Kluyveromyces lactis: one gene and its partner. The main gene of each other region encodes a partner of the protein of the gene in region 2 in a complex. Links are inferred from orthologs where the notes say so. Each region holds a gene or a part of one and is shown on either strand. Other genes may lie near its edges.

Region 1 (4,442 bases), on a different chromosome or scaffold from region 2:
TGGTTATATTGCAGCCGGTTGTCTGATTCTACCAATTGCGTCCAGTATTGCGATGGTTACAATAGATTGGTCCAACAAATATGCGTTGTTAGCCTGTATGATCTTAGCCGGCTCCTCAAAGGGTATCACATACATTATTGCTTTGGGATGGACGACATCATCTGCAGCCGGTTATACCAAGAAACTCTACAGGAACGTAATGTTTATGTTGGCATATGGCGCTGCAAACATCATTTCTCCTCAACTCTGGAATCCAAAGGATGCCCCAAGATACTATCCATCCTGGATTATTCAAATTGTGGTTTCATTCTTCCTTAATATTGTTATTTTGTTAACAATCAGATACATTTTGGCGAAAAGGAACAAAGAAAGGTATCAATGGGTTCAAGAACATCCAGAAGACAACTTTGGTATTGTTTCTTTCACAGAAGGAGTCAACGAAAGAGTTAATCTAGCCATGCTAGATCTTACCGATTTTGAAAACAAAAGATTTATCTACCCACTATGAGTTACCTTTAGTAGGAGTGTATAATTTTGGGATGGAGCAACTATCATTCTGTAAATCGTTCGTCAATTTCTACAAATTTACCCAAAGCTCTGTTCTTTTCAACTGCATATATCCACATTTCTAGAACGTCATTTTATGGAAATATTGTATATTTGAAAATGGGGCATCGCTATGTGGACGAGTACGAATAGAGCCTTTCACAATCCATAAATAGCTCCAAAGACACATAAGCAGAAATTTCTTGTGTTATCGTGGAAGCTATTACTATGGCTTTGTTGATCCTGCATATCAAATAGCATTAACAAGCCACTCTTTCTTTTAAGTTGCTGAAATATCAGTTAATAACTGTCAGTCCAATTATTTCCTCAAAAGAACATTGTCTTGCTACACTTCACTGCACTATCCTTTGGTCCTTAGGATCAATTATATAAGCGCCAAAATAAAGAGGTAATGAAGATCAGTTTTGAAATTGGCGATAACATTTTATTTCGGCCCTATGCTGTGCTATACCATCCTGTCTCTAAGACAGTTCCTAATATTATATCATTGAGGCCATTCTGTTAAGGAATGCTGTTTTTTTTTATATTGATTCCAGTGCATGTTGAGGCAGGAGTAAGGATGTGAGAAATCTAGTAACCTTCTTCGGGTGATACAATGCGTATGTCGGCTTTCTGCTTTTACAGTACTTGATTGTTTAATAAAGTCCTTCAGCTTGCATGTTGTTGTTATAGCCGAGTACTCTTTATTTGTAGAATACACAATCACGAACATCAAGCATAGTATGCATTGCAGTTCAATAGCAAATTTCAATATGGTAGATTTCTAACCATTTCATTCAGCCAGAAGTTCTGTTAGAGATAAGTTTACGATGTAAACATTATAGTACTATTATAATAGCATACATTAAAACTGATGTAAATTTCAGATTTCAAATGTGCGAAATCTGTCCCACATACCTCCTGAGATCTACTGGCATATCAGAAGTCTTATCACGACTTATTACCAACTCGTATTTCTTTAAATGCCTAACTGCACTCCAAACGGCCGATGAATTGTTAAAGATGACAATCTTATGTTCAATAGACGATAGCTGTAACTTTAAATGATTTCCTAAGTGGGCAACTTCTGGTAAAACTAACATTACGCTGTCTTTTGATAGTTCTTCTTGCCAATTTTCGATCTTATCGAACAAGTCTTGTGTAAGAACGTAACATTTCGACTTTGGTTTTACGTCTCTTATATTCGGGTTTCGCTGGCCACGATACAGATATAATAAATAACCTACAGTTACTGCCACTGTCGATAATACCCCAACAGCTATAATCGAAAGCTTCTTTTGCCGGGCTTGCTTCATAAGGGACTTGTTTAGCCAATTGGTGGTTTCCTTATCTCCTCGCATATAATGGCAATGAGGTTTCTATTTATGATTTTGATTCCATTTCACTTGTTTTTATAAACAATATATCAGTATGTACAATACATAAATAAGTAGAAACCAGAGAACCGTCAACATCTTGAACCCTTAATCTTTCGGCAACCCACAATGATAGATTCTCCTATTTTTTATGCGACGACTGTCCATTTGGATCATATTGTGACGGCTTTGAATTGTTTAACACCTTTTGGAGTGAAAGGTGAAATGCTCATCACCATAGATAAAAATGGTTTGTCCTTTGCCCAAGAAAACAATCATGTAATCAAGATCCAATTGGTTCTTTCACGGGAGTTATTTCAAACCTTTCACTATAGCCCGATAACTGAAACATCTTTGACCAAGGTATCCCTGCGGCTTGACCATGTATTGGATAGTTTGAATATCAGTAACGATCGGAACGATATAATTGAGTGTACTTTAACATATAATGGGGATGGATCCCCATTCATATTAATATTCGAAGATAACATGATCACTGAAAGCGTCGAATACTCAACATATCTGCTCAAAGACTTAGACAACACTGGGTTGGTACTAGATAGAACGCGACTGCAATTCGAATGCATAATAAAAGGGGATGTCTTACACAATGCCTTACACGATTTGAAGGAAATTGGATGCAAAGATTGCTATTTTTATGCGATACATAACGAAACCACCAAAAAGCCCTTATTCGCATTGATTTCAAGATCTCAACAAGGTTTATCTAAGATCATATTACCTAATGAGAGATCGATTTTAGAGAAGTTCGAAATATACGCAAATGATTCAACCACCCTCTTATATGATCATCCAATGATAAGTGTTTTTGATTATGGAATGCTAGACAAAATACGAGCCAGTGCTCGGATTGCTTCAAAAATCATGATACGTAGAGATGTACATGGTTTGATGACTGTTAATATATTGAATGAAACGAAGGATATACTAAGACCTAATGACCAGGAGTATAAGAGGACTAGAGCCATTTCAGGTAACAATCTACCAAGTCATTATCCTGGGATAATTATTGAGATATGCATGCTTGAGAAAGCTCTTCCAGAGCTTCCAGACGTAAATGAGATAAAAGTAATGATGATTGAATATATGGGAAGTGAATCGCGCCATAATTTCCTTCCCAATACACAACAACCGCCGAAGAAAACTGCACATGACGATAAAGAAGAGGAAAATAGTGACGGGTATGAAGCTGCTTCGCAAGATTTGCCGCTATTCTTCTAGCGCAACCCTGCTTCGACAAGCTGAATTAATCAGGTTGGAATTAACGTCATTTTAGGTATAGATGGAAACTATTTGTAAACATATAGATACCCTAGAATATATATACAAACTATAAAATAGAGCATTTTATCAAACCAAACAATGTCCATATTCCCATGAAGAAATCTGTTTATGTTATTGTTGAGTATGAGAAAAATGAGTAAAACAGAAGCGTTAAATTGGATTTGAACATAGATTCAAAATCCACTCATTTATTGTTGGCTGAAATGTTCCAAAAGAATTTCTCTTTCTTGGGTGTCAGCACCCCAGTTCTTAACAACAACAACGGAAGCACCGACGACCTTTCTGGCGTTACCGTCACGGTCGATCTTACCCAAACCGGCCCATTCACCTAATTGCTTGGCATCAGCAACCTTGATTAATGGAACGTTGTTTTCAGTGGCCAAACCTTGGACCAACTTGCTGATGGCTTCTTCAGTAACCGATTCAACCAAAACAGCTAGTTGACCTTCACCTCTGGTCAAAGCCTTGGCAGATTCTCTCAAACCTCTGGCCAAACCATCGTGAACCAAAGAGGTTCTCAAGACGACCTTTAGGGCATCTTCGATGGTCAATTCAGCGACTGGGACTTGTTGGACTTCTTCAACGTCAGACATTTCTAATTTGATAAAATTTTCTAAAGTATTGACTTCTTCGACAGTGGTACTGCTCCGTGAAGACTTTAGAATAACATAAAACTAAAAACATACTAAACTAATAAGAAGACCATCCGAAACGTTTTATTCAATACTCTTCAACATATTAGCTTAAATCATGGGAATTCAAAATATAAAGCTTCCACCATTCACCGTGAAAAATAACTTTAAGGTTTAGCGCACTATATACGTTCAACACTTAAGATATTTCAGAATCAACAGACGACAGCGGAGGGCAGAACAACTGCGTCCTTTTCTTTCGCTGTAATGTCCAGGTGTTTTCGTGAACATTTTTCTTAAGACTAGTCCGTGGTGGCGCGTACTATGTTGACGTGTAGATGCCATATTTGGAAATTCTTTAGTTTTCTTCAGATTTGAGGAGGATTTTGGAATATGTACGGGTGCAAACAAATATGACAGTCACTGGTATTTTAATCTTGTTCAAGTCTTTTCATTAAGATTAGAAGTGATGAATACAACAGCATGGGTCGCGCTTCGTAGTTTAAATATCAATAAGCGCTATAGTCTAGTAGTCGTTCTGTCAACTCTGACGATTCACGAATTTGAACTGCTGTTTGCAGAC
Region 2 (5,301 bases):
AAAGCTTTTACAAAGATAGTGATATTCTAATGCTTGCTACCAATCTTTTGAAGAAAGATTTGAAATATGATTTAAGCAACGAAACAGTTAAGATGGGCGTCGCGTTAAGCGGTCTTTCCACAATAGTAACGCCCGAACTTGCTAGAGATATTTGCGATGATTTGTTTCTAATGTTAAACAGTGGTAAGCCATATGTTAGAAAAAAAGCGGTGACTGCCCTATTCAAAGTGTTCTTACAGTATCCCGAATCCTTGAGAGACGGCCTCAGCAAATTTGTTTCAACACTTGAGGATGAGGATACTTCGGTTGTCTCTGCTGCCGTGAGTGTTATCTGTGAGCTAGCGAAACATAACCCGGGTCCATTTATACAGTTTTCTCCTCTTCTATACGAGATGCTTATACAAATTGACAACAATTGGATCATCATCAGATTGTTGAAACTTTTCACCAGTCTCTCGAAAGAAGAACCAAAACTACGGTATAAGATCCTACCAAAAGTTTTAGAATTGATGGATAAAACTACTGCCATTTCTGTGATTTATGAATCGATCAACTGTATTGTAAAGGGTCAAATGCTGGAAGAAGATGACTATGATACCGCACATCAGTGTTTGAACCATTTGGAATCGCTTGTCCAATCACTTGATCCAAACTTGAGATACATCAGTTGTGTGTTGTTCTATCATATTGGTAAGATTAACTTCGAATTCATTATGCAATATGATAAATTGGTGATAGGCTTGTTGAAAGATGTGGATATATCGATCAGAACCAAAGTATTGGAATTATGCTCTGGTATAGCATCAACTGACAACATCAAAAATTTAGTTAGAATTCTAATCAAGCAATTTGTGGATGTGGATACAGTGCATGTCAATGATCAAGGTGTTCAAATAGACATTCCTTTAAACTATAAAGTGAAAGTTGCCAAGACTGTCTTAGATGTCTGTTGTATAAATGATTACGAGAATATCAATGGTGACTTCGACTGGTACTTGAAAATATTGACGGATCTCTGTATAGTTTCACAAGATTTGAATAATTTAGAGGTATCAACTTTGTTAGGTGATAACTTTAGAAACATTATGGTCAAAGTTCCAAGCATGAGGGATGCGGCTTTAGAACAATTAATCAAATTGACTACAAACGATGATATTATCGCCAAGCTTCCTAACCTACTAAAGGAAGGAATATGGTGCTTTGGGGAATATTCCGAGTTAATTGATAACTGTGACACTCTCGTTGGCATACTCCTAAACAAAGCCAATAAACTTCCAGACACCGTGATACAGACAATGATTCCTGCATTAGTGAAATTATTCTCAACCTATGCTAACACAGAGGGTAGAACCAAATCTGAAATATCAGATCTTCTTTCTACACTAATCGCATTCATGGAACAAAAATACAGATCAACGAATTTTGATATACAAGAACGAAGCGTAGAGTTCTATGAAATGTTAAAACTCTGTCAAGATGCTTTGCAAGATGAAACGGAAGGGTTACCTCTATTAATTACCGACGTTTTACCTAGTCTTTTCAATGAGTATGAACTTGGCCCAATGTCACACGGACAACAACAGCAGTTGGTTAAGGCGTTAACACTCGATTTAGACACTCCATTTTTATCTTCTGTTGAACTCGAAGAATTAATGAAAAATGAAGAACTATATGAAGATGAAGCTGCATATTATTCCGACAAGGAGAGCGTTAAATCTGCTGCAAGCGCTGGAAGTTCTGACGGATCTGTAACTCAGGATATCTCGTCAGAGAAAGACATTTCAATGACAGAAGAAGAACTTGCTGCTTTAGAAGAGCGCAGAAGACAAGAGAGGTTGGATAATCCGTTTTATTTGAATGATGATAAAATTGACCGTGCAGAAACGAAATTGATAGAATTGAGTGATAACGATGATGAGGGTGAAACAAAAACAATCGAACCCGTCATCAAAATTTCGACGAAAAAGAAGAAATCTAATAAGTCACCATCTGTACAAATTTTGTCAGATATTGTAGTGGCTCCACCATCCACTATCACAAAGGAGGGGAAGAAGAAATCAAATACTTCTGGGCATTCAGATGCGATAACTCTTTCCACATCGAATAAATTCAAATCTTTTGATTTTAGTCGAAAGGATAACATTGATTACGACGGTGAATACACTGTTGATCAAGAGGAGTTGGAAAAGCTAAAAAATAAACTTGCAGAACAACACATTAGTGACAATTTAACAGCCATCCAAGATGACAAAGAAGAAGTCATAGTTATTAAAAAGAAAAAGAAGAAGAAAACCAAAGATGGCAGTAAGAAGGAAAAGACTAAGAAAAAATATAAAGAGCCCGCTGAAAAAGCTTCAACTCCAGCAATTTCTCTAGCTCCAAACGAATCATAATAACAGATTAATATAATCACTAATCCATTCGCACTATTTCTTTATAGACATAGGTTCAAATATTTAATCTGTAAAAAGATAAATCACGTAATTGCAAGAAAAAACACGAACTTTAGATCTAGTGAAGAGTTTTTTATCACCGCCAGATAAAGGGATTCTGACTGGAAGTTGTGACAACAGGCCATTGCAATGTCATTTCGTGCTTCCATAAACAGCACGAATGAACAGACCATATGGGGTAAATGCTTGGCAACTCTTTCTCAAATAAACCCTGATGTCTTCATAACAATCACCGAAAATGGTGTATTGATATCATCCATGAATGCAACAGACACGACCATGGCCAAGGTACGATTTCCTAAGTCGTTCTTTACAGAGTATCACTTCGAGCCGAAGAAGATTGTATTTGGTGAATCTGGAGTGCAGCAGATCACCGATTGTAATGACATTCTTCACACAATTTATAGTTTCAAAGCGAATGCAAAGTATCTTTCCCTATTATCACTTAAACAAGAGGATACAATTAAAGAATACATGTTAACTATCGACAATTGTGATAATTGTTCTGAAACTATAGCTAACAAACTCATAATCAAAATGAAGACAGCATCTTTGCTAACTAAAGAATATCAAGTTAATTTTGATCCATTGGAAAGTGTTCAGATCATATTAAGTCTGAAATATAAACAAAAATTCCTTTCAGTATACAACAACAAAAGTAAGGGCAGATCATTAGATCCTCGGTTAGTGGATTATTTCAAATCTTTACAAACAGAATTAGAACATGATATGTTTAATAGAGGTATCGCCAATGAACACAATATTGTGAGCACAGTGAAAAATACACCGTTGACGGTTAACGACGAAATCAACTTCTTAAGTTTTGATCAATCAATACTAAGAAACTTCATTGACTCTATTATGTCTAATGTGATCGAGGAAATAAAATTGGAATTGACGAGACATACTCTAGCCATAATAGGATTTACAAAAGCCGTGTACAACATGAAAAGTCAAGGGTACCTCAAACAAGCAGTTACAGTAACGAATACATGTAGCGCAAATGATCTAGAACATTACTGCATATTTTCAACAGAAAAAAACGACGGTTCGAGACCTTCAAGCAGATCACAAAGTATTAAGAAGAGCATTACGTTCAAATTACGAGATTTCAAAGTATTCTTAAATGGACTTAATTGTTGGAAAACAAATGACATGATAAGAATCTGGTTTTGCCAACCTGGTGACCCCATTCTCTTTGAAATAACAAAAGATGGGGTTGTATTGGAATTAGTGCAGGTAACTGATACCGAGGGTAGGGTCGAAGAACCAGAGGATTCTGTCACCCAATTTAACCTGTCACCAGAAAAGATAGTTTCACCAATCAAGAAGGATACCGTAGTGAAACCAGATAAGCTTCAAAGGCCGGAAAGTAAGCAGATGCTGTATCCACATACAAAACGCTCACTATTTATAACGGATGAGGATGGAGCAGATGATGATGACGAAGACGAAGAAGGAAGGCAATTCAGGTTTAAAAGGTGGGGGAAACAAAATAGTAACACTACTCCCAATTCAAACACTGGCTCCCAGTCAACACCATCGAACACAACAACCGAGCCGTCAATTAGCGAGCCAGTAAAGAGAATGAGAACAACTGTCGAATGGGGAGGAACAATTGAATCGAACAATGTCGGTACAGATGAATCTCATCAAAGAGAAATGAACAAGGCTGCTTATCTAAATAATTTGAAAAGACAAGCAATCCAAGAAGATCTCAATCTACAGGAAGAAGATGATGGCATGGGTCCCACACAAGCTGACAGACCTAAAGGTTTGTTCGACTCTTGATAATAAAGAACGAAAGAAGTACTTTATTTTTCATTTCGAAATGAATTCATAAACTGTAATTGAACATATAGACATATAATATACAGTACGTAAATAAACTTAGCATTAAATCTTAGATAACAGACCTACACAGTAGTGTAATCTAAGCCATGGGAGAAAGAATGTTGTTTTGTCGGCAGGTTACATTTTCTCTTGCATCTAGGCTGTCTTGGCGACATTGGCGTCAGTAGCGTCAGCTTTCTTGCCACCTAGATAATGATGGTTTAAATATCTGTAACCTTGCACAAGTTGGGCTGTTTCATTCACAACGTGACAACCGAATAACAAGAAGTTCCTTGGGGTAACAGCTAGGGAATATCTCATAAACACACCAGAGTACATCACTAGAGCCAGCGTCATAGGTCCAGAAATCATCTCCGGATCCTTCTTCAAATCGTAGATGGCAGCAATTGGGATACCGAAGTTTGAAACTGGACCCCAGAAATGTGTGGTGAAGACATACTTTAAAGTTTCCTTGTTAATGTATTTGGAAATCAAAGATTGACTAGCAGCTCTCTGTACTGGTTGGGACATGATTCAGGGATTATAAACTGTTGCCGAAGTATAATTTACTGAGTTAATATTAACGTAAACCAAACTAAAAAAAGAAGGATAACAATGAATGAATGGGAAAACGAGAGGCCAACTAATAACTCAGATCGAGTACCAAGAAGTTCTTCAATGTACCTTTAAATCTTTTCTGAAAACATTTAAACATTTTTGTTGAGCTTTAAAAGTCTTCAAGGTTTCGAAGCTTGAAAAATTCACCGCTGCAATACGATTTTCACTGGTAAACCCGTTGGTGAGAGACTACCCACTGCACAGCTGATGGAAGTAAGAGGTATAAAACTACATACATGGAGGGGCCGCATAACCACCAACTTATAAGCCGACATATTGGGGGATAGATTTCTGATTACTCTCAGTGGTTAACTTGGTCAAAATCCGTCTCTCTTATGATTGGTAATAAGAAGACGTATATCAGTAAGGTCACGTGATATAGATGACACTGCGTAAA

The links. The genes of interacting proteins can lie anywhere in the genome.
Region 1: DDC1 (region 2) and RAD17 share a complex: the UniProt entries of both Saccharomyces cerevisiae proteins name them as parts of the checkpoint clamp complex. The link is inferred for Kluyveromyces lactis from reciprocal best matches to the Saccharomyces cerevisiae genes DDC1 and RAD17.

Annotation. Positions count from the first base shown.
Region 1 is NC_006042.1:15,631-20,072, forward strand, and holds RAD17 (Rad17p), read left to right. Parts: upstream 1-2,051; coding exon 2,052-3,164; downstream 3,165-4,442. Other genes in the region: KLLA0_F00286g (uncharacterized protein), read left to right, coding at 1-508; ubiquitin-protein transferase activating protein PEX22, read right to left, coding at 1,437-1,907; RPS12 (40S ribosomal protein eS12), read right to left, coding at 3,416-3,820. UniProt on the Saccharomyces cerevisiae protein: Component of the checkpoint clamp complex involved in the surveillance mechanism that allows the DNA repair pathways to act to restore the integrity of the DNA prior to DNA synthesis or separation of the replicated chromosomes.
Region 2 is NC_006041.1:1,723,042-1,728,342, reverse strand, and holds DDC1 (Ddc1p), read left to right. Parts: upstream 1-2,582; coding exon 2,583-4,244; downstream 4,245-5,301. Other genes in the region: APL5 (Apl5p), read left to right, coding at 1-2,393; pyruvate transporter MPC1, read right to left, coding at 4,443-4,817. UniProt on the Saccharomyces cerevisiae protein: Component of the checkpoint clamp complex involved in the surveillance mechanism that allows the DNA repair pathways to act to restore the integrity of the DNA prior to DNA synthesis or separation of the replicated chromosomes.